Linked DNA regions of Drosophila melanogaster. The protein of the gene in region 2 purifies or fractionates together with the protein of the main gene of each other region. This does not show direct contact. Each region holds a gene or a part of one and is shown on either strand. Other genes may lie near its edges.

What was found.
Region 1: the proteins of sbm (region 2) and CD98hc fractionate together in Drosophila melanogaster (co-fractionation; one study listed by BioGRID). This does not show direct contact.

What each region holds. Positions count from the first base shown.
Region 1 is NT_033777.3:7,970,559-7,982,418, forward strand, and holds CD98hc (CD98 heavy chain), read right to left. Parts: upstream 7,871-11,860; 5' UTR 7,788-7,870; intron 7,523-7,787; 5' UTR 7,508-7,522; coding exon 7,460-7,507; intron 7,405-7,459; coding exon 7,380-7,404; exon of another isoform or gene 7,307-7,379; intron 7,212-7,306; exon of another isoform or gene 7,118-7,211; coding exon 7,004-7,117; intron 6,511-7,003; coding exon 6,332-6,510; intron 5,856-6,331; coding exon 4,579-5,855; intron 4,502-4,578; coding exon of another isoform or gene 4,496-4,501; intron 4,308-4,495; coding exon 4,061-4,307; 3' UTR 3,851-4,060; downstream 1-3,850. Other genes in the region: Os-C, read left to right, coding at 8,417-8,506, 8,559-8,930; Sfp84E (seminal fluid protein 84E), read right to left, coding at 9,203-9,682, 9,733-9,735; Elovl7 (ELOVL fatty acid elongase 7), read right to left, coding at 11,813-11,860.
Region 2 is NC_004354.4:14,582,949-14,596,690, reverse strand, and holds sbm (sobremesa), read left to right. Parts: upstream 1-5,099; 5' UTR 5,100-5,295; coding exon 5,296-5,371; intron 5,372-5,602; coding exon 5,603-5,774; intron 5,775-6,398; coding exon 6,399-6,445; intron 6,446-7,959; coding exon 7,960-8,061; intron 8,062-8,526; coding exon 8,527-8,769; intron 8,770-8,926; coding exon 8,927-9,425; intron 9,426-9,533; coding exon 9,534-9,630; intron 9,631-9,875; coding exon 9,876-10,194; intron 10,195-10,254; coding exon 10,255-10,325; 3' UTR 10,326-11,958; downstream 11,959-13,742. Other genes in the region: nmdyn-D6, read right to left, coding at 12,407-12,662, 12,739-12,938.

The DNA.
Region 1 (11,860 bases), on a different chromosome or scaffold from region 2:
CGATTGGTGGGAAATTTGAGATGTTTTTGAAGCCGAGCAAATTGGTAGCTTAATGACAAATGGGGTGCCAAAAAACGTGTTTTATGTTCATAACCAAGATACGCAGAGTTATTTAAAGCAGTCAGGCACAAGATTCCGTCAGGCACACCAAAAGGAGGAGCAAGAACGGAGCAGTCCTCGACAGCGATGGCAATCTGCATATAGAACACAACCAAAGGACAAACCTTTTAACCGACCAGCGGGCGGAATCCGTGCGGGGAGAGGGTCCGATGTTCCAGGAAGGGGTTAAGGGGTCTCGAGCCGAGAGTAATTTACGCTTGCATGCAAATTGAAAAACAGTCGAGAGCAGGCACTGGACATTGGGGGATCCTGGGGTGGGATAAGTTCCGGACTGGACCGAGCAGAGCTGATTGAGCGCCGGGATGATGCATTTTAAAACAAATTGGCACAGTTTGTGAGAGGTGGCCAGTTGCTGTCGGTCTGGGTCTGGGCTTGGGTCTGGTGTGTCGGTGGTGTTGTGTTGTTCGTGGCGTGTTTGTCACTCAATTAGATGCAACTCATTTAGACGCTCTTGCATTTGGCCGGCATTTGTGTGCACAAAATGTTAATCAAAGCCTGATGGGATTTTTTAGGCCAACTAATGATGCCATGCTGTGATGAGGCTGGCGCAGGGAATGCTCATTGGTCATTGGGTGGGTTCCGTTCTGCGCACAGACATATTGATGACAGTCGCTCAATTAATATGCAAAATTTATTCATGGGAAAGTTCAAAACAAACAGAAATACGCACCAGCAACATAGAGCTGAAAAAGTATGGGGCGCAAGAAAAAAGGGAGTTGGCTTTTCCGATAAAAAATCAATACAAATTAGCCGACTCATTTGGCTGTTTTTTTTTTTCTGCCCATCGAATTGAGTTGTTGACACTGGTGCGTATTCGCCCCATAATCCGTTGTAAGCCCTTCAAAGGAACCCTAAGCTGATATCGTGACACCTAATAAATGTGCCAGCAAAGGTTTTAATCGTAGAAATAGTTCAATTTGGGGTGACTTGCACTACATTGTATTTAAATATCATATTATTATATATATTAACTACGTAGGCTGTATTTAATATAATTACGAAATTTGCATTAACACAAAGTAAGAGCTCGGCGTTCGGCAATTAATAAAGCAATTACACTGATCATGCAACATAAAACATGGCATTATCGCTCATGATTACTTGTTTATTATAGAAAATAAAGTAAGTGAAATATGTGCAGATCGTGACAAAAGCTATTATAGTCGAATATTAAAGTTCTTACTGGGCTATTATAATATATTACAACAGCAAGTACATGTGCACCATTTAAGAACGTGATAGTCGAGTGTGTGGTCTTTAAAAATCCCGCTACCTAATTTTCCCTACTTTATTAGTTGCATTTTGAAAAGGGATAGTGCGATAAAATAAGTGATACTAATGATACTTATCCATGTACAAAAGGTTGTTTAAAAAAGTTTTTTATATTAATATACATATAAAACATCCATAGCCTTAAGCACACTTTCCCAAATACAAAATGTTAATCCTACAAAACATCTATGACCTTCAGTGTAAAAAAATGTATATCCGTCACAACCACAGATTGTCAGGGGGAGCAATTAACCCTTTCATCATCATTCGCAAGGCCGAAGCCAGGATACAAGTGAAAACTTTATTAAAAACCACTTTACGCATTCCCCTGCGCATTTGGTGACATCGCAGCAGATGTGTTGCACATTGCAATTAAATCAGTGGTCAGCCGGAGTCGACCTGTCCTGAAGGGTTGGTGCTGCACTTGATGACTGCCTGATGGAAAAGTTGTAGCGACAAAATAATTTCGCAGCGCACAAGGCCAGGTCCAAAGTGTTGGCAGGGATGGTGGTGGGTGTTAAGTACATATGTGTGTGGGAAGGGGCGGAATACCGGTCGAGAAGTTTGCAGTTCCCAGATGATGATGGTGATGATGATTATGATGTGGACGATGATGATGACCTGCGCAACAATAGTTTGCATCTCGGAGATACCCAAAATGAAGTTGTTCTGCACGGTAGTCGAGTTTTCTTGTTATTGTAGCTGGCTTGCCGCAATCAACTGCACTGCATGTTGCGGTTCCTCGAACAAGTCGCCTTTTCCTGCATCAGCATGCTGGTGTTTGTGTATCTAATCACATTAGCACGTGCGCATATCCTTTTGGCCTTTTGGTGATACACATGCATAAGTGGCGAGGAGGTTTGTGGAGAGAGCTCTTGCTCCCCAGGCTGCCATTCAAAGCGAGGACTGTGCAAACTAAAAACATTTTGGCCGCTTTGTTTTTGGCTCATTTCGCTTGTCGATTTTGATTATTTGTCTTTGGCAGCCCACACATCGCACATACTTTTGTTTTGCCAGCTCGCCCCAACTATTTGTATCTCAAAGTTGGCCCACACACGTATGCCAAATGCATTCGCTGTTTTCTTTGAGGTCTTTAAACTTTTCCACAAAGGCCAAATAGTTCTGCTCCTCTTCAGTGTGGTATGACATTTAAGCAGGAGAGATGCATTTTGACCAACTTGTTTAAGAATGTCAAATTAGAAAATTGTGTAGTGTTGATGTTGTTGTAGTGTCAAGTCCACAAACGCACACAAGACCTTTGAATTTGAATTTTGATTATACGTTACATAAAGTTGCCATTCTGGCGAAAACTGGCGTTGCCAGAAACTGGATGTTGCCAGACCGATATTTAAAACATTGTTAAATGTTAATATACTTAAATATATATTTTAATGTTAGGCCCATTGAATTTAATCCAAACCAAAGACACTAGAATAACAAGATGCGTAACGGCCATACATTGGTTTGGCACTATGCAGCCACTTTTTTGGTGACGGCCAAAATTACTCTCTTTCGGCTCACTCCCGCTGAGAGCGTAAGAAATCTAAAAATATAATTTGCTTGCTTGTGTGAGTAAAAACAAGAGACGAGAACGCGTATAAGTGTGCGTGTTGTGCTAGAAGACGATTTTCGGGCCGAAATCAATTCTGATCGAAGAAACGAATTTACATGGTACATATTAGGGTAGTTTTTGCCAATTTCCTAGCAATATGATAAAATAAAAAAATTTTTAAAAATTCGCGCCCTGAATATTATAATTTTAAAGCTTTTTAAATTTGTTTGTTAAAATCGCCGCTCGAATTAGCTACCGTTTACACATTTATATTTATGTTTAATTCTAATTTGTCTCTCATCTGACAATTTTTTAAAAGCGAAATATTTTTTTTGAAACACTTTTAATGTTAATGTTACATCATATTAAGTCAAATGATTTAATAAATATACTAAATAATTAAATATGCAATTAAATTAAATTGCAAAAGTAATATCAAAGACAATAGAATTATTCTAGTGTCTTTGCTTTGTTCATATCTTGAGGCACGAAGTGCGGACACAAGCACTCAACAATTGCCTTATTAATTTTTCACACGCCGCAACATGAATACTCTAATGACAAATATTCTTATATAAAGTCATTTTTGAAATTTATTTATCAAAAATAATATAGATTTAAAGCCAAAGAACTTCTAAAGTGAAGGGCATATTTTGTCAAATTTACAATGCATGTGAATACGTGTGCACACATACTGATGTCTGCTATCACTTTGTGCGTTGAAAAGAGCTGTTCGCTGTAGCGCTCTTCGCTCTCTCGCTCTCTAACAAAAATTCGAGAGAGCCTGGAGCCACCTCTAGAGCCACGGCCAAAAAATCGTGTGCCAAAAAATCGTATGGCGTTACGCATCTTGTTATTCTAGGGTCTTTGTCCAAACTAATATGCATTAAAACACAAGTTTATATTAAATGCAAGCAAATATTGTATTTATTTCTTAGCAAGCGCATTTAACAAGCAAGCAAGTCTAAAAAGTTCTCAGCGAATAAGTTTTTAATTTTGTTTGGCGGCTTTAAATCTCAACGGTTAACAAAGCGAGTTACTTTTTTATACAATTTCTGTATATATGCCATTATGCGATATTGTTTATTTTGGTGGATAGTTACAGGTACTACCACATTACTCCGCCTTCACTGGCACATAGGTCAGGATAATGCTGGAGTGCGGGGCCACCTTGAGATCCTTGAGATTCACGCGTCCAGCATGAGCAACCTTTCCGGAGTTATCCATGTTATTGTTGTACTGCTCGCTGAAATAGGACACCGTCATCTTGTCCGGCAGATTGTCTGGGATAGTAAAGTTGCTCGCCTGCGGCAGTTCGGTGGGATTGAAGATGACAAAGTAGCCAGGGTTTCCAGACTTGATCCTGTGGAAAAAACATAAAATGGGTTTAAAAAAAAAACAAAAAGATAACTGAAATCTTTTAACTACATAATAACACAACTAATAAATTAAGCATAGGTTATAGTAGGATTGAATATAAATGAATTCAGAAATATCGAAAATTAAAATACTAATATATAATATATAGGGACACTTGGTTTAAGTTTTTACCTCTGCCTTCATGTGGCAAGCATTAACGAATTATACAAAAGTTAGTGACAAATACAATCGAGAAAGTAAACAACTTCAATTACCTGGAGAAGGCGACCAGTGGATCGGCCTGGTAGAGATTAAGATTTCCATGCATGTAGGATGCAGTCTTGCGCAGAGAGGTGATCTGCCTGTAGGTCTCCTCGGTAACGTTTTGATAAGCCACAGCATCCACAGCCACCACGGGAACACCGGGCAGCAGGGATAGGAACATGGCCAGAGCAGATGGATCCTGTGGGGTGTCGACATAGACGTCCGCTAAGTTCCACTGCAGCCAGCTGTCCGTGCCCGATTGGGCGAGTGTGTTATCCAGTTCCTTCTGTAGCGACGTGTCTGGCTTAGATTTGCTGAGCACCTTTACAAAGTTTCCGTACATAGGCAGATCGATGCCGTATGCTCCAGAATCTCCGCTCAACTGGTACACCTGTGGTTCCATGACATCTTCGGCAACCGAGAAGAAAGCCTCGTCGGAGGCATTCTTCACGATGCTCAGGTAATCATAGAGCACATCGCCCAGGCCGGATAGGAAAGTTGTTTGTCTGTGGGAGTAGAAGCCATATTCATTGGGTCCCAGGCTGAAGTCCTTCGGCGATGACGAGATCTGCTCATCCTCGAGGCTATCGAATAGCGCAAAGAACTTGGTATTCTTCAGGCGGAAGCCTCGAACGCCCAATGCCACCAGATGCTTTAGGACTGCTCCGAACTCGTTCCTAATGATGGTACTGTTCATCTTGAGGTCGTAGTACCCGTCTTCGAACTGGGAGAGCACATAGTTGTCTCCAACCTTTTCCCAGGCGCTGCGATTGCCGCCCACCTTGAGCCAGTTGTTGGGAAGAGCTTTACCGCCGCTCACCCAGACAAAGGCCGATCTCTTCTCCGGGTTTGCAATGGCATCCTGCACAAGCTGCGAGTTCTTTGCCGCGTAGTTGGGCGTCAGGTCAAGTATAACCCTGGTATCGCTGCCCTGGTACAGAGCCACCAAATGCTTGATCTTCTCCTCCACCTCCGGCTTCTTCACGTCGTAGGTCAGAGCAGCTGGAAGCTCATAAATCGCGCCAGCGGAAACCAGTTTTTTGGCGACCTGAACATCCTCTGGCCTACAGGTCTCAACGCTGGCGAACTTGGCATGTGGTCCACGCTTGTACCATGGAAGTGGCTGCGGAGCAGCGCACTTGGGGGCTCCGATGATGATTAGGATGGCGCCCACCAGCATGCCCACCCAAATGGCCCAGAAGCACACGAAGAAGATCCAGCGGAGTCGCACCCAGAAAGGGTCGTTGGCGTACTTCATGAGCTCCTCCTTGCTCATACCAGTGAAGGCCTGTAATGAAAAGAAATAATTATTAAAAGTACTATTTTATAAAATAATAAAATGCGTCAGGGTAAAAGCAGAAAGTAGAGACTAATTACATATTAGTAATATGAAAAACGAGTATTTCATAACAATAAAACTGCACAAATAAATTTCAATAATTGCGAATACACATGTATGTTACACACATATATACACATATATATATATGCACATGTGCACCCACATATTAATACATATGTATATTTATTGAATGACAAGCCAAGGTCATTAACCGGAGAACGAAATTCAACTAAGTGTAACTTGAATTCTAGCATAACCACATGCACACATACATATGTATGTACATAACTAGCGATTTTGTTTAAATTATTTAAGTTGCGCAGCTTTTGAAATAACGGTCTAACCAATGGCGTTTACATATATTATTTTCCTTTCTCATTTTTAAATTAATTTTCAAAAATGTATGTATGTTTAATACTCACGGGCTTGCCTCCGTTTACGGTTCCGATGTCGATCTTGGCATCTCCGTTCTGGTGATCGCCCTTGATGAACTTAACCTCATCCCGACGCTCGGCCAGCTTATCCTCCACTCCGTTGGAGCCCAGCATCTGTTCGTCGGCGCCATCGGCGTGGGCCGCCTTCTCATCCTGGACCATGTCGACTAAAAAGTAAATGATTCAACAATGATTCAATTTGCTCTAATCAGTTTCAATTAAGCGTAAGCACGTTAATCTCAAGCCAACAGCCTTTCTCTGGGGAACCGAGCTGGTTTTGTAAGGTTAAGTCGAAATCAGAAGCCACATTCCTCATGATTCACAGGAGAAGGGAAGTTTTCCGTGTGTGGGATTTTCTCTGGAAGAACTTGCTGACGTCACAGGATGCGAGCCACGCTTCGAGTTTGCGCTTCATTGGAAAATGGACCTGTGGCTTGGTCTAAAATCGATATCGCTTTCCGTATACTCTTCTTATCTCCCGCGTACTGATAAGCACACGCCCACCACGACCCCAGCCACTCATGAAAAATACACATATACACTTTTAAATATAGATACTTAGATACATTTTCATGAGTGCTTCCAGTGAAAATTCGACGCATTGTTACGTCAGCCATACATTTTTCCCCAGCTGTAGACACAATTTCTTTGTTTAATTACCTTTTTCGGGGTTCGAACTGGCTGCCACAAAAGTATCTTCGGCTATAGTTTTGTAGACCTCCGTGGAATCGGGTGGGTATTCAGCAGCTGCGTTGATTGTACTATCACATACGCCTAAAATAGACCGCAGCAAGAATTAGCGAAATGAACGCGGTGAAGAATTCCTTACAAATGCCTCGTTTGTGTGGTATGTAAAATATTTTATAGATTGAATACGGGCTTACCAGGAATTAATCTACCCATCGGTCATACCTTATTCCATATTTTTATAAAATACCTCGGCGATTTTCAGTGCCTACTTACGCTGTCTTACAGATGCTCGTTGCTACAAAACTGATTGGCGGGAAATTTGAACTGTTAGCTTAGAAAAACTCACCAGGAGCTGGTAGCGTAACGGAGCTCTGCAATATTTTTAATCACTTAAAATGCTGAGATATTTGAATTTAATGTACTTACTTTGCTGGCCCCACCTCCCAAACGTATCAAGCGCGAGAATAGGTTCATGGCAGTGGTGATTTCCTGAGATAGTGAAGAATTTAATTTATATTAATGAAAATTACTGTGCTTCAAACAGACTAGCCCAAAACCAATTTTTACTTAAGTATTGTATTGAAGATATGTATTTCTGATGAAGTAAGCTCTTAAAGAAATATTGTAATTTTATACCAATTCATTTGTAGTTACAGCTCACAATTATATAATGATAATTGGGATCGAATAAATATAAAACATTGTAACAAGGTATGTATTGGCACACACTAAAAAATATTATATGTACACATACCCTTAGCTTTTTTGAAAGACTGTTAATAAAACTATAAACAATAAATGAGATATTTGGCACTGGCTTGTATTTTGCACTGTGACCTGCCCAATAAGAGGTCTGATTCGCAACTAAAGTTGCAGTTTCGCTCTGGCAGTGCATCGCCCCCAGAGGCGCAGCCCCAATCCGAACCGCTCCTCGAGTTTGATTTAATTATACCTGTGAAAGAAACGCGTTCCGTGTGCGTAAGTACGATTTATGGCTCGCGGCGATTGAGATTGAGCCGGGCCCAAAAAAACTACCTGTCTGCGTGGCAGCTTACCTGAGCTCTCTCGCTTGACCAAAAGCCAAGTTGGTGGACCGGGTTTTGTGGCCAGCCACCAGCGCAGAGCAAACTGCACTCGTCGGCGCATTCCAGGCCCAAATATGCTGAGTTGCCGGGTGTTTGGAGAGTCAGAGTCTGCCGACTCCACAAGGTTGCCGAATAGAACTCAAATTGGTTTAGCTGGGCCACACCAAAATTGACCAATTGCTGCATTACCCTGCATATTATCTTTTTCCGATTAAGAGACATGCAAGTGTCATTAGCCTATTAACTGGGAGCTATATATATGGCAGGCCGGTGCGTAAGCCCCAACCAAGTTGACAAAATGGGTTTTCACATGGGACGACAGCTGCTACTCTCCGGATTCCTGCTGGTGATGCTTCAGATGGTGACCCAAACGCAGGCCAGGCCGCAGGTGATTGACGAGTATAATCAGTTCGAACATGCATAACTCAATCCGCCATCAGGATGTGATCACAGTTGCTGGCGAGGAGACAGAGGTGGTGATCAAGCGGGAGGGCGATGACGATGGAGACGACGATGACTCCTCCTCCGAGGAAACAGTCGAGGATTCCGAGGAAAGCAGACGCAGACGACGCGAGGTGAATACGGACAACACGCCATCGGCTCGAGCGGTTATTCCAGGTTTGCCAGATCCGGCCACCATAATCAAGATCGCTGAGCTTTTTCAATCCGTAGGCGAGCAAGTAGTCCCCATTCTCTTGGAGGCCATTCTTCCCAGCGTGGATGCAGCGGGCGATCGCTTCGCAAGATCTGTGCAATTTCTGAAAAACTTGACCCCTGGCTCTGAATTGTTTGCCGTCGAGAAGAACGAATAGCCGAGCCAAATTTAATGTGACTACCATTGAAGGAACTGGACCGGAATTGATTTGACTTTTGTATCTGCATAGTGAATCTTAAACAAGTGAATAATATTTGGATGTAGTTTGGTTTCTTGAGTTTCTTAAAAGAATCATTGTTTAAATATCGTTGTAGTAATATTTACATTATATTAAGACATGGTATAACATATTGTCTTATAAGAGGTATTAGTGCTACCCCTAATTATTTTATTTTGGTTACATCAATATATAAGCTCTCAGATTGTTGTTTAACCTTTTGATTCAACTATTTCGTTTTCCGCACTGGTTAAAATATAATAGCTATTGAATCCAGGCCTCTCCCTGCAATTTCTTTCCAAATTTCCAAATAATATGTCAATGACGCTATCGATTGCATCCGACATGCTTCCGCCACAGAGAAGGATTTCCGTGAAAACTTTGTGGATAAGTGGGTGAATGGGCTTGTCGAGGCACACTTCATTGAGCCTGTCTAAAATTCCACTGATCATGCCATGGATCACTTTACCAACCAAGTTTTTCTCTTTGAAAATATCCATGCAGTGTTTATAAAAGTTTTCCGTATAGTCTCCTAATGTAAGTTGTGTTGTTTGATTGGTTCTAGCCCGTATGACATTCTGCTTTGGTTTCACAAAGCTTCTATAATGACTCTTGAGAGCTGTCCTGTGAGCCCCTAACACGCATGGCAATATAACTATCAGGATGCAGGATACTAGCACGGTAAAGTGACGCTAAAAAAGAATACATTTAACTGAGGCAACGATTTTAGGCAATACATTACCATCTTAATCGCTTGCCGATCGAATTGCTTTTGATTTTTTTTTTTGCTGATCTCGAAATCTTTTTCGCTTTGCAAAATTTCGATTTTCCGCTTCGTGGTTCATAACTAATTCAGTTAGTGCTCTTTGTATACGACACCTAAAAGGTCCTAATAATATAGTTATGTTGTTTTTAAAGTGCTTTGTCCATCCACAGGCTAGTGCCTGCATAAGAATACATCTCGGTTAGAAATGTGGTAACTTTGGAAGCAGGCACTTCTCAGTATTCGGTGATCGTGTTCTTGAGGCTAATATTGGCAATTTATTTTACCACAAATCAGGCCCTAGGTAATGAGAATCGATCGGAAGCTGTTCATTAGGTCGTAATGAAATAATTATGCATGGCGTCGTATCCGTGTTCCTGTCTGCTTACTGCCAACAAAGTATTGGTAAATAATTTGCATAAAGTCCGTTCTGCTGGTTCGCATTTTGTGAGGAACCTTCAGAAGGTCTACATACCCATGCCCATGCATCTTCTCATTAACCATAATGACCTGACATGCCTACTATTCCTGTAATAAGTCAACTTTGTTTTTCTGACTTCTTTTGGAGGCGTGGCAACTTCACATCAGTTCGATGCAAGGTCAAATACCTTTTGATATTAAACTTTTTGTTGAACCTTTTTTAATTCTGATGTATATGTACATTTTCATGGGCCAAGGCTTCACAGGTGAATATTAAATATTGTTTGAAATTTGTTTGATAAATTAGATAAATTACAAAAACGTAGTATAACATTGGAAACCAACGATCAGCAAGAACCTAGCCCAGTTGATTTAGTCCTGTCCGACCGTCCGTACTCCTTTCTGTCCGTATCAAAGGAGATAAATTATAAAAGAACTATACAAGTTAGAAAGTTAAGAATAAGATTTTGGAGATGTTGGTGCGCCGTCAGTTTGTTCTAGAGCACCACGTCCTCTCTAGCACGAAGAAAATATTGAATTTTATCCCAGTAGCTGAGTTACGGGTATCTGTTTTTTCTATTTGTCCGCGGAAAATAATTTAATATATCTCAGAACTCCAGGACTTTCAGCATAGCTGAATTTGTCATGACTAAGACAAATGTATGGTTCTAACTTGTTCAAAACAATATCATCATACTCAGCATTCCGTATAAAAACATCGAAATTTTAAAAAAGTATAAATATTTATAAGATCGGTAGAACTTAAAACTTTTTACACGTTGGTGATCGTTCTGACATTTCATTTAACTGTGAACCCTAAAAGTATTCTTCTCTATTTTGTGTGTAAGTCGGAGATGTATGTAAAAAACTGGGCTCACTATAGTTCTGTCGACGATCTCAAGGTGGCGCCACCAAATTTAACAAAAATGGGTTAAATAATTTTCATGATAATCAAATAAATGAAGGAAAATCATTCAGTCTTTATTACCTTCTTTATCTTTATTGTAGAACATCCCCCTATGAAAGAAAACATAATTTTTTCAAAAATGATCAATGTAGGAATAAGAAATAAAAGATTATTTACTACGTTTTAATCTCGAATTTATTTATAAAATAAAAACACATTTCTTTTGTTCAAAACAATCCATAGAAATAAAATACACGTATTAAAAAGCGTCGCTTGCATAAAGAAAAATACAAAATTGTTGAGCGATAGATACGAAAAGCGGAAATACACGTCCCCGAAAGGGTGTACTTAAGCATTAAAAGTAGATGAACGCCGTACCACTAAATTAGCAGCAGCTATATACGATCTATGTACATGAACATGGATGACTGGATGCGGAAAGTGTTGGGGACTAAATGTGGATATATTTGTAGCTAAGAAATGATCGATGGACAGCGGTATGCCAGCGATTTGTGATCCTTACGTGCGATCACCATGGATTGTCCATGAAATAATGTTTTTGATTCCTTGTCTTCAATTGATCTTGGTGCGAATTCGATTTGGCTTAGATGTAGGCTTGGACTCCCTATGCTTACGTTTAATTTAAATGTACGGTATTTTAATTGGTAGCGTAATTAATTTATGCTTATGTGTGTTTCATGTTTGGCTGGCTGGCTGGTTGGCTGGCGGCGCTCACTTGTTGCCGGCGTTCACGAGCACACGCTGTCTCGTCGAGGAGTT
Region 2 (13,742 bases):
GCAAATGGAGCACAGCATATATTGAAATAATAGCATTTCATAAGCGGATTCGGATGTTTATGCGCGGCAGGATAACGCGAACAATGGAAAGTTGCAGCTAGAACTGCAAAAGGTATAAGATAGACTGCTGAGCCTATTAACCTATGTAATTATTTATTATCAATTTATTTGGTGTTATTAAATAACCACACAAGCCACTCAAAATCGGTTTATAACCGGTTTGCACCATTTTTTTTTTTTGAGTAGCAATAAAAATTAGTCGCAGATTAAGTTTCAATTAGATTTCAACTGGTTCGCACCTGATTTATCAGCAAAAAAGTTTCATGGCCAGCGATAAAACCACTAAAGGTGTTGGGAATGAATAAAAAAGTGCACAAAAAAGTGAAATAATAACGTAATATTCTTCTATTACCATTTCTGTTTGTGAATTGTGGCGACGTGTAACCCGATTCTCTGCTTATGAGAAGTGGCCAACAGAATTGTGAATTTTGGACATGGACTTGGGACTGGGAGAGGGCCATTGACACTGTTGTCGGGACTTGGAACTCGGGACACGGGACACGTCTAACGATACAGAATAAATCAATTAAACGAATGGAGAGTGGTTTATTTCGGGCGCATTTGTGGCTCGCGTGTCAGTCGAGGGTTAAGCAAACACTTGTAGCCAAGTTCTTTGATTGATTCGTTGAGAATGGAGGGGATCGAAATGGAAGCCGCAGAAGCCGTGGTTGGTCAATAACTAGTGTCAAAAGGTGAGGCGCGGACATTCGATCAATCAATCCACATATTGTGCTCTAATTAGCACAAACGAATTTGCGACACAAGCAGATGGAACTTTTCATGCCTCGTTTAATTAACAACGCTAACGCAAATAAGTAAACAATTAGTTGAAATTAAATTTCCACAAGTGGCGGAATTCGAATAAATTTTCACTTCATTGAGATGTCAGCTCGGTAAAGATAATGCCGCCAATAAAAAGAGCATTGTAAATGAGCTCGCAAAATAACTTAGGTGCTATTCAACTTTTAACAAAATGTTATCTTTCCAATGAAATTTCTAAAAATGCTTTAGATTTTCCCATTGCCTTATATGGACTGGCAACTTTTGTGTTCGTTGAACTTTGAATCAGGATCAGCAGGGGTGAGATGTCCTTGTTCCCTCGACCGATCATTTGGATTTCAAGAATTTCTGACGCGACAATCGCAACAAAATTAACTGAAAATATTTACCAACGACGTCGGCGACAGAGGAAAATCGTTTTTATTTGGCCACCGGCCAATTGAGATGCATGAACTTTCCCCGCCGAGCTTTGCTTTGCATATTTGAAATATTCATTTGCACGACGAGCAGCTTTTCTTCGACCCAGAAATTTTTGGCTGACCAGCGCGTGATTATTACTCATTTTAGTGCCGCTGACGTTGGCAACAACGGCTTCCTTTCCTCTGGAGTTGCTTTCGCTACACTGAGAAAAAAAAATAGCATAGAGCTATGACAAATTAGCTAATATAGATATAACACCTAATCACCGCCTCATTGTTGAAGGTAAACACCTCGTTTCTTAAACAATATTCAGAAGAAAATACCAAAATATTTACATTAACTCGTCTATAGATAGAATAAATTCCAAAGCTGCAAAGAATTCGCTTCCCTTGATAGTAATCATTTGGCTATTTAAGAGAATTCTTTTCTTGCAGTATCTTTGGGATAGCAAGTTGTTTTAGAAACCCATTCAGTTCTGATAAAGTCATTTATTGCTATTAGATTAATGTTCATTTAAATGTGCAAATCTCAAAATCATGAGCTCCATAGAAGCATTTAATTTTATGACATAAAATGATTTATTATTCGCACTGACGTTACGAAAATTAAATTGATTTATTAGTAATCAGGTGGGTTATAATTGCTGAGCGATAATGATATTTTATTATTTTAGCTAGCTAGACATTTGGCTAGCACGTCAGCCGCTGGTGTTATCTACTCGAATATCTTTGCAGTTTGTTTTTTGCATTAGAGTGACTAAATAATTAGCGAACGAAAATCAGCCGACAAGCCCAAACAATGTTCGACCCCTAAAAATACGAAAGAAATATCGCGAATATCCGCAGTCTACGTGCATTGCTGGTCGTAGGTTTTGTTCGGCCTAATCGAAGTACAGTGATCACTCTACAAGTGCACTATTATAGATATATATGTCTAACATTTTGCTATTGGTTCTGTATTAAATGTTTATGGCTTTATCAATCTCTTTTCTCTTCTTTATGAAAATTTCTTAAATTTGCTGAAGAATTCGCGTTTTTTTTCTTCTTTTGGGAGAAACTGAGTTTAAGTTATTTTCGATTTCCACATGATGACCGTAGGAGTCATATTGCACACACTAAATTGATGTGGCGCTTCATATCTGGTGCGTCGAGTTACTGAATCGAAATCACATTCAATAAAACAACGCAAGGAATTCACTTAACTGCTCGGCGAGCTCAGAAAAGGGGTATTTTGAGTCTGGCTCGTGTTCCGTTTTAATTGACTATTAGGTTCTAATATCGCTGACTGGTTGCCAAGTGGCTGTATTCGCATCTTGATGAAAACTATAAACGAGAAAATCATTAGCTAAATTAAAGTATGTTGGATAGTCTTTGGGTAGGTTTTTTCATTATAGTTCATAATATGATTTCTTACAATTATTTTAGGTTTTTTTTTTTTAATTGTAAATGCATTTCCCCATGGTACCACGTTGCGTATGAGTAATACAAATATTAATGATAAAATTATACAGTAACGCACTATTGTTTTTAGTGCCAAGAACTTAATATTACTATTATTATTTGAATATTTATGTCAGCAAATAAATGAATAATACTTAAGTGATCGATCTAATGAACGATTGGGTTATGTGTTTACTTTTCCCATCCCTTTGCAAATATGCAATGTTTAGTTATTGACTGGCTAAGATCTTCAAGTAATGTATCCGGTTCAGCCATTCTCCGCCTGCCACGCCCCCTTTGCCGGGCGATCAACAAAAACAGAAAGAAAAAAATATATCCGAAAATGCTCACAAGCCGCGTGACTTTTATGACAGAAAATACATTGAGAAAAAAAATGCGGGGCAAGAAGAAGCTGCAGAGGCTGAAAAACGACACAGAGCTTAACGTAGGAATCGTTTATTTATGTTTATGTGGCTATATATACAAAAATTGTGTGTATAGACGTGTATTATTTATTTTTATACCAACACTAAAAGTCGAAAGAATAGCGCTTAAAAATATATATTGCAAAATGGTATTCCAAATCAAAAGTTAAAGATTTATAATTCAGTCAATAGTTCGTATCTTCAAAATATTAGCTACCCACTAAAACTGTTCCATACTGGCAACATTACGTATACTTGATATATATTACGTATACGCACTGCTGGCCCATAATCATTTATCATTTTTAATTCTTTGGAGATTTGCGAATTTTTCATAAACTAGAAATTCGATCTGTATAAAAACGAACCAATATTTTAAATTAATTAAATCGTTGCTAATTTTTTGGCCCACTTGCGCGACTGCATACGTAGGCACTATGGCGTGTGTATTCAAATCTTTGGATACGTATAATATATTTATGCTCGTGCAGATAGATATCTATTTGTTCAGCACACAATCTTCGTACATATACGATTTTTGGGGGCACATCCAGTGGCAGAATCAAGCCGAAAAATAGTGGGAGAACTTTGAAACTATGAATGTGTATGTACATATGTACATACATAGAGTGTTATGTACGTACACGCGGTCGTTGGGCTGATGAAATTTCGACGCCTCGTGGGCGAGAGTTAAAGACCCAGTGACGTTGTAGCCAGACTTCTAATGGGAGTGAGATACATGCAATATATTGTACATATATATATAATTTCATCTATATACATACATATATATATATATGAAAGTGTTGCGAACGAAGTCACAGCACATGACCATTAATAAGCGGCCAATTGAGGCAAATGAAATGCGCAACCAACAATTAATTGAGAGGAGCCGATGAATGGAGGCGACCACAGAGAGATAGATGATGCTACTACACTGCAGATTCTGATCGGTGGCGAGAACCTTCTGACGTCGCCGCGAAATTAGCCGACTAATTCAATTTGAAATTTTTATGCAAAGCTATAAATAGCTGGGCGGACCGAGAGATAGATCCGAGGAGAGAAGATGCCTTCACCTTGACAATTCTATAATCAAAATATAGAACCGACGGCGCGAATTGCATAAATCAGTCGGAAGGATGGGACTCTTCTACATACATACATACGCAGTGTGTCACGTAGTCAGCGTGAAAAACAAAAGAAAAGCTGCTGAACAATTCCAAACAATGCCAAAGAAATCTTAACACCTTCTCATAAAGTTGCATTCCTTTAAATTTTTCATTCTTATATCTCTGAAATGGAGTTAACTTTCATTGATAAAAAGTGACCATTAATGCTGGTTAAGGCTGATATTCACTACGAAGAATAATATATTTCATAATACTTTCTTATCACTGTAGCAGGACTTAATTTCAAACTTTCATTCGGAATTACGTGAGTTTTTGTTGCACTTTGATGGCGATGAAGATTTGAGAGCTTTTGTACAATAATATTTTCGTGACATTACTGCTACATCCTCCATCGATAAGAAAGTTGGCCTGCACTTCTCTATTGTTGTTAGCCTCGATATAAATCTCAAAAACCCCCTTTACCTAAAATACTATTCTTTAGTGTGATATTTTATCCTGTTATCAAAAGCATTTACGTCTAGATATCGTTAAGTTCGTCCTTCGAGCACTATTATTATCCTCGATGAGTGTGATATAAGAGACGGCCAAAGGCCCAAACCAGTCGAACTCATCTCGAATCTCGAACGCAATCTCGTTTGGAGAAAGTGGTTAGTTATTCTCCCAACGCCGGTCGTTTTTCTCGCTTTTCGTCTGTTCGGCTGTTTTTCCGGCGCTCGGCTGCCGCTCGTGTGGCACTCGTGTGGCGCTCGTGTGGCGTTCGTGTGGCACTCGTGTGGCGCTCATGTGGCTCTCGGCGGAAAGCTTTCACCGGGCGGACTATTTGACGCCGCTGCCATTTGGGATGCGAACAGTTGCCTGCGATTCGCCGCCCACTGCGCTACACTTTTTTTTGGCCCGCACTCCTTTCAGAACATTTATATATATATTCTTAACTATATATATAAATATATATATATATATATTTCTTCATATATATTCGTATTCGCTGAGAGCTGAATTTCGCGGCGAAATAATTTTAGCAACTTGTTATCCGTCCATGCCATGCGCGATAAAATATCACAACTATTTTGCTTGCAAAAGAACGCATGCAAAAATAATTCAACAGATAATAACAGAGGTGTGTGTGTGTGTGTGCTTGTGTGTGTATGTGTGCGTGTGTTGTGTGAAGTCCATTCATAAACTCTGTCTACACGTCAAAAAAAAAACGTGCCCTTCTGGCATCGAAATACTCATATCTATGCGTGTGATACTTTTTTTTTAGTGCTACGATTAATGCTAATCCCTGTGTTCTGCTCTCTCTTTTTTTGCTATCCTTCGCGGTGATATGGTGATGTTGCTGATCCTGCAGGACATAATGTGCCAACAAAAACAACGAGCAACGGGACCATGTGCGCCAATGGGTCTCTTGGGACAGAAGGGCCCGAAGCGCCAGAGACCGACTCATCAGGGACCGGGCGGATGCGGAAGCCGCTGGAGAGGAATGGCTCAACGCAGAACCACGTTGTTCACCTCGAGAGAAGGTAACGATTGCCTCAGTGCAGCAGGACCAGAATCGTGTACTCGAAATGGTCAGGTTGTTAGGATAGGACATTAATGCTACTCAATTGATTCCAAAAATGAAGGCGATTGCTCTTCTGAGTATTTAAATGTCAAAATGTAGGCTTAAAATTCAATTTTCAAGTAGTTTATTCATTTTTATTGAATTATTTATTCATTTATTCATTTATTTTTTAGCTTGTTAACATAAGTTATAAATGACAAGCCACTTGGCTTACTTTAATGATCAAAACTCATATTAAAGCAAACAAGACAAAGTGCCATTTCTAGCCTTGTTGTAAATACCAAATGTTTTCAGTGTAGACGTAAACAGTTTCTATTTACTTGGCTAAAAACGCGCTATTCACTTGATTTACACCTTGCTGTCAATTAAGTGATTTACTTAACATACTCAAAATTAACAAGTACACGGATCTATTTTTGACATCCATCCGTCAATATTTATCGACTTTTGACTTTAACATGCAGATTCGAGTGATGAAATCATGTCTTTACCTTAAAAATCTACCCCAAAAAGCAGTATTTTTAATTTATTTGATAATTTCGTTGAATTTACAATATTATTCTCTTTTTTTTTGTCATTTCAGGCTGGGCCTCTTCAGTGGGGTGGCTTTAATTGTTGGAACTATGATAGGTGAGTGTACAATCCATTCGGGGATGCTTCGCTCCAAAGCAATTGTCAAAACAAATGCATAAAACATGAGGCAGGAATGTCGAAGCGACGGGAAAAGAGAAAATCCAAAGTGTCGCCCAAAAAAACACACGAACACGCAGTTTTCCACGGATTGTGTCAAATTTGCTGTTCCGTTCGTTCTTGTTTTTTTTTTTTAATACATCTTTCGCTCTGGGAGTCGGTGAAAAATATTGAGGCACAATTTTCATTCGGTTTATTTTCCTTGCCTTTTTTTTTTGGTTCAAATTGGAGACGCGCATGGCCAAAAATACGTACGCATAAATTTAGCTACAGTATAATTCGCTTAGCTGCCTCGAGTACTTTGCACAATGCCTCGATGCAGGTAACTTAAAAATGCAGCTAACTTAATTTTTTTTTTTCTATTTTCTATTTTCTATTCACACAAAAAAATGGAAAAATAATGCAGATATCTTGCCGATGCAGCTAACTATCGATGCAGCTAAGCGAATTATACTGTATATGCACATAGTACATATACATATACACAGCTTTAGGCCCACCTATATATATATATGTGTATGTATGTATTGTCTGTCTGTATGGATATATATGTAGATGGGTACGCAAGCGGCCTGAGAATGAAAGTGCCATCAGACGGCTGGTGGGAGGAGTGCGGAGGATGGCGTGGATTAAGGCCAATTTCCAGGCATATTTTTAGGGGGCGAAAAGGGCAGCCCTAGAAAATTGGACCCCATACAGCGGTGGTCAATCACAGTAATATATCAAAGTATATTTGTATATTTTAGTGTTTGGTAAAAAGAACATCTCTTGTTTGAATCTTTATAAAACAAGAAATTAATTAATTAATAGCACAAATATATGTAATTCAAAATAGATCACTTTATATAAAAGCGTAGTATTGGCAATTATACTTTCTGCCCAGTTATCACTACAAATTGGGACGCTGCTGTATTTGGCTTCAAAACTGGGCTGTATTGAAATACATATTTATGACACGAATGGCGTCTGTTGTCGCTGCTGCACTTTGACCTTAGGCAATGGCGCCAGCTTGTGGCACGCAGCCGAAATTGTTGCACGCCTCTGGATCGAATATCCAACGAACTTCATATATTTTTTCCATACCGCTTCGCCGGCCTCATACAACCTCTGTGTGAGTTTCTCTGCAAGGAAAAACCACTATTTGCCGGTATTGCGCATTCGCCGCGTGGTCGGAGCTTTCGCCGAAACTTTTGTCCGCCCACTGATGACGTCCGCAACGCCCACTCAAATGGTATATATGTACTATGTAGAGCCCCGCCAGCCGCTCATTAGCATACGGGAAATCGAAACGATGGGGAAAGTAGGGAAAACAATGTGGGCCCTTAATCAGCTGTTTTTTCCGAAGCGCAGCTGTGGCAGCATTTTACTTATATCAACATATATCTATATTCGCAGCTACATATATCTATATCTATATTCTGTATCTATATCTTCTCCCTTTTGTCAATCCACAGGGTCTGGAATTTTTGTGTCACCCTCCGGTTTACTGGTTCGCACTGGTTCCGTTGGAGTTAGCTTTATAATCTGGCTTGCCTGTGGTGTGCTCTCTCTGCTGGGTAAGTAGTCACCAGAACCATAAAATCCCCTCCTGCCCGAAATGTGCGCCACGTGCAACTGACCCACTTAACGACGTCAAGTGGCCAAGTCCCAAAATTCGACCCTGCACTCTCGTCACAACTTGTTGCACGGCTGGCGAGGAGCCAAACTTTCGCGGAATCTCACACCTTCCAATCGCGTGCACTATACACTCGGAAAAAGTGCATTCTAGTTTTAAAATCATAAAAAGAAAAAAAATATAAAGATCTATTTCTTTCTATGATTACCAATGATAATCATCGCATTGGTTGATTACTCGTTTTCAAAAGTAAATGTAAAATTAAAGTTGATTGATTGGTCAAATATAAGATACTTATACTTAGCAACTTAATACTAATATGCCTCATCCTTACATATATAGTTTTTACTTATAGATGCTTATCCTTTGTAACTTTGTCTAATTATCCTTGATTGCCCACTTTCAGGCGCTCTGGCATACGCTGAACTTGGCACGATGAACACGTCGTCGGGGGCGGAATGGGCCTACTTTATGGATGCCTATGGACCGGCGCCGGCGTTTCTGTTCTCATGGGTATCGACTTTGGTGTTGAAGCCATCTCAAATGGCTATAATATGCTTATCATTTGCACAGTACGCCGTTGAGGCCTTTGTGACGGAATGCGATCCGCCCAGGGGTGTGGTCAAGATGGTCGCCCTGGTGGCAATTGGTAAGAAGCGGTAACATCGGAGGAAAGGGGATCACTACCACAGCTATCGAGCTAATAAGATAGATTACTTTAAATTCTATGTGGTATTGATCCCTATAACCACCATATCGTTTAACATACCAATGAATATTAATGATTCACCCTCTCCACTGTACAGTGATGATCCTGTTCGTGAACTGCTACAGCGTCAACCTGGGAATGGCCGTGCAGAACGTATTCACCGCCGCCAAACTGGTGGCCGTTGTGGTCGTGATCTGCGGCGGAGCCTGGAAACTGATGCAGGGCAACACGCAGCATCTGTCGAATGCATTTAATGGCCCAATGCCCAATGTGGGCGCCATCGCCACGGCCTTCTACACGGGTCTGTGGGCCTACGATGGCTGGAACAACCTGAACTACGTAACCGAGGAGATCAAGAATCCCAGCAAGAATCTACCGCGCTCGATCATCATCGGCATACCGCTGGTCACGCTCTGCTATGCGCTGATCAACATCTCCTACCTGGCGGCCATGTCGCCGCAGGAGATGATCGAGTCGGAGGCGGTGGCCGTCACCTTCGGCAATCGCATCCTGGGCGCGCTCGCCTGGCTGATGCCACTCAGCGTCACCATCAGCACCTTTGGCAGCGCCAATGGAACGCTCTTCGCAGCTGGGCGGTAAGGATTGACTTGAAGCTAAAAAGGAAGACCTTAGAACTTCTGAACTATATGTGTCGGGAACGGAACCACCATTATAATCTATGATCTGTTCTACTGCCATTGCAGTCTGTGCTTTGCGGCCAGTCGAGAGGGTCATCTGCTGGATATCCTCTCCTATGTCCATGTGCGTCGTCTTACACCTGCTCCGGGGCTGATATTCCACGTAAGTGTCTAAAACTTGACCCAAAATTTAGTTAGCTTACCCCGAATTGCTTCATATTGCCATCATATTAGCAGACCCAAATATTCCACTTTTTTTTTTTTGTATTTACTACCGCCAATCCATTTGTTATCCACATTTTAATTTTTTGACAAAACCTGTGAATGCCCATGTATCGATCCGATCCTCGTTCTAAACTCCCCTCTTTCTCTGTATCTTTCTCTGTGCGTACTTATCCCCGTCTCCAGTCGCTGATTGCCTCGGCAATGGTGCTCCATGGCACAATTGATTCGCTGATTGATTTCTTCAGCTTCACCGCCTGGATATTCTACGGCGGAGCGATGCTGGCCCTGATCGTGATGCGCTACACCAAACCCAACTATCCGCGGCCCTACAAGGTGCCGATCATCATTCCCGTTGTGGTCTTGGTCATCTCCGTGTATCTCGTGGCGGCACCAATATTCGAGACACCGCGCGTTGAGTATCTCTATGCCCTGCTCTTCATATTCGCGGGCCTGATCTTCTATGTGCCGTTCGTCAAGCTCGGAATGACGCCGAGATTTATGAGTGAGTAAACTAAAAGATATCATATTACAATTCATAACGCTAACGTTCTTCTGTTTGCAGACAAGGTGACGCTATTCTTTCAGCTGCTGCTGGAGGTGGTGCCCACCTCATCGATGGCCATGTTCGAGTGAAGGGGATACCCGGCAAGTGCTCAAGATTTCAAACGGGAGGCCAACAAGCTCGGAGAGCGAGAAGCAAATACATTCACTTAATTACTATTACAAACAAGGATATGATATATTAGGAGTGCAGCATAGACAGGATGCAAAAGGGGGTTGAGAGTGTGTTAGGAGCAACCTATATTGATATACTGACGTTGTCGTTGACAAAGTAGTGCTAGAGTAATAAAAACTATTTGAAATAGTCTTTTTATGCTATGAGCTGGTTATATTCAAAGATTATATGTGAATATACAGATATTTAGTGTGGATACATACATTTGTATCTTTATGTAGCGCGCATAGGCCAAGTTGCATAGTCGATACGTACGTACGTTTATACAACAACAAAGCAAATCTATATATATACATATATTTTTGTGTTCTATTAATTAAAGATCAAGACAAATGACAGAAACAACTAAAAAGAAAACACACACCTAAATAGTCGAATATATATCATTGCCAAGCGGCTCGAAGTGCAGGCCCCATAAATAATACCTATTATTATTAGTATTATCTGGGCATGATGGGATCTTGAGGTTTGAGTACAGTGCCGCCAGGAATCGATGACACCACCAATCCGTACAGTGCCCACCAAAGTCAACACTCGCCGCAGAGCTTCGAAATATCCTTGTTTGTTCTCATTTTGGATTTTTCGCTGGCGTTATTTACGAGTTAGCCCCGATCTAGAGATCGGCTGGAATAGCAATATTTATATATGTACGAGTATATGTGTGTGATGGAGAATGATCATAGTTATGATAATAATGCAAAAGCAACATGGTAACGAAAGAAAGAGGACAAATGCTAAATACAAACATCCCAAACTGAATGTTTCTAACTTTGTGCGACTAGAGCGCCACCTGGCGGTCGGGGATCGCGTGTGAAATTCGTAGGACTGCAAATAGGCATTAAAGATTTGTAATTGATACCAAAAGTAAGGTAAAGAAAACAAACAATGAGAAAATTCAAACAAAAAAATAGAAAAAAAAACAAATAAAAATAAAAGAAAGCGAAGCAAACGTAAATACTACTATGGATACTTGTTAAATACATTTTTTTGCGACTTGTGTCTGCTTTGACAAATCGTTGCAACCAAAACTAGAACTAGATTTAGAGAGACGGTTATACTTTATTATTATTATTATAAATACATAAAATGCCATTTTTTTTTCTTTACATTAGTTTTCTGTTATTCGTGAAGGACTCGTCGCACACGAGTTAGAAAAAGACAGCAGGTGCGCAGGTGCCGTCTCGCTCGCAAACAAAATACAAGAATTTTGAAGTTTTTTAATGACATATTTCCCGTTTTTGAATTTCTTGCTATGCTTCTCAATTGTCTGAACCGATATACAAAACATTTATATCTTTACCTATTTATAGGCGTACTACAGAACTTACCCACACATAAATATATATATATTTATATAATTTGTTAAGTTTATAAATTTTATAATTTTATTACCAACTATTTACAATGAGCTAAACGGAAACCAGAGCAAATCGAAAAGAAAATCTCTATCTATACATGTACCTACCACCTAATAACAAAAGAATTGTATTATGTAAACCGGAAATTGACGAAATAAAGTTTTTGAAACACATGTCGCTGTTATCTCAAGTTAATTGCCATAGTTCCATCTACGGCAGGGTGTTGTTAGTAACTTCATAAAAAATTAACTTTTCAATTGACTTCTTTTATTACAGCGATTTTTCTTTCGAAAGAACATTGCCAAATTCCTTAATCATCTAATTCTTATTAGTTATCAACAAGAAGTATAGTTTTTGTTTTGCTAATATATATATATAAATATATAAACATATTAGTACACTAGTCACAAAAAGTATCATAAACTTCAATTACTTTTAAAGCATACCATATGACAACATTCTAGTCTAGCCTAAATACTAATCTAAAAATGCCAGGCATTAAAAATAAGAAACATAAATTAGGACAATTCCAATAGCTACTTGAACAACATGTAAACATTTTTCATGAACTGCTTTGGTAGTAGACATCTTGATCAATCTAAGGATCAAGAACTCCTCGACTACGCCTCCTCCCTTTTCGCCTGGCGACTCCCAACAGCCGCGTCAAACTCCGGGAACAGGATGCTGATCTCGCGGAGGGCGGATGCCTCGCTGTCGGATCCATGGCAGGCGTTGCGAGTGTCGGATATTCCGTACAATGCCCGGATGCAGTTGGGATCACTGTACACGGCACGGAACACCTTGGTGGGACCCAGAAGACTGCGCCACTTCTGGATGCAGGTTTCCGACTGGAGAATCAGGGCGTAGCTGGGTCCGCTGAAGAAGATATACCAAATGGTTATACCAACTAAGTGGCTTAGGATTTAAGGATGTGCCCAGGCACTATACGAACCTGTTCATAAAACTGGTTAGTCGGTGGTAGAAGAATTTTCCCTTATGCTCCGCGTAAAATCGCTCAGATAGTTCTTTCGTAATGCAAACCTCCTTCTGGTCAAGAATGGTGAAGTTCTGGGAGATCAGGGCTCGGATCTGCTGCATTGCATAGGTATTCCGCAGCACGTGCGGCTTTATCAGAGCGAGTGTTATTTCCATGTCCTGCTGATTGTGGTAGAATAAGAAGCTTTAAAGTTTAAGTTTAAGAGGTAAACAAATTAGCCAGCCGGTTCGGCTTAACGGATCTATCGATATATGACCAGAGAAATCGAAAGTGTTGTTTCATTTAATAGACGTACTCCACTGAAATGAAATATAAGCAAGCATTTATCTTTTTTAGACCATGCTCAAAAAAAAAAATTTTTTTTTAATTTAAAAAATGTAAGATTGAAGATTTAACGCGTTTTCTAATTATGTTAGTCAATAATAGTTCTACCCATTTTTAGACCCGTTACGCGTGGAGTAAAGGGTATTTTAAATTCGTTGAAAAGTATGTAAGTGGCAGAAGGAAGTGTTTCCGTATGTATAGTATATATATTCTTGATCAGGATCAATAGCCGAGTTGTTCCGACCCTGTCCGTCTGTCCATTTGTCCGTATGAACGCCTCGATCTCAGGAACTATAAAAGCTAGAATATTGAGATGAAGCATGCAGCTTCTAGAGACGTAGACGCAAGTTTGTTTCCAAATGTTACCACACCCACTCTAACGCTCGTCAGAGCAAATGCTGGAAAGTTAAGATTATGCAAGCAGCTCAGGTTTCTTCCTGATGTCTCTTTATTACGTCTACAAACCACCCAAAACTGCCACGCCCATATAAAAACATATAAATATTCGTATTTTTTCTTTTAAGTGGAAACATTTCTGGTCTGCATCGATACCGCGCTTATATCGATAGTTCCGCTTGCGCCTTGTGGGAGCCACTAGCCGACCGATCAGCTGTTCGCATTACACAAGCAGCCGC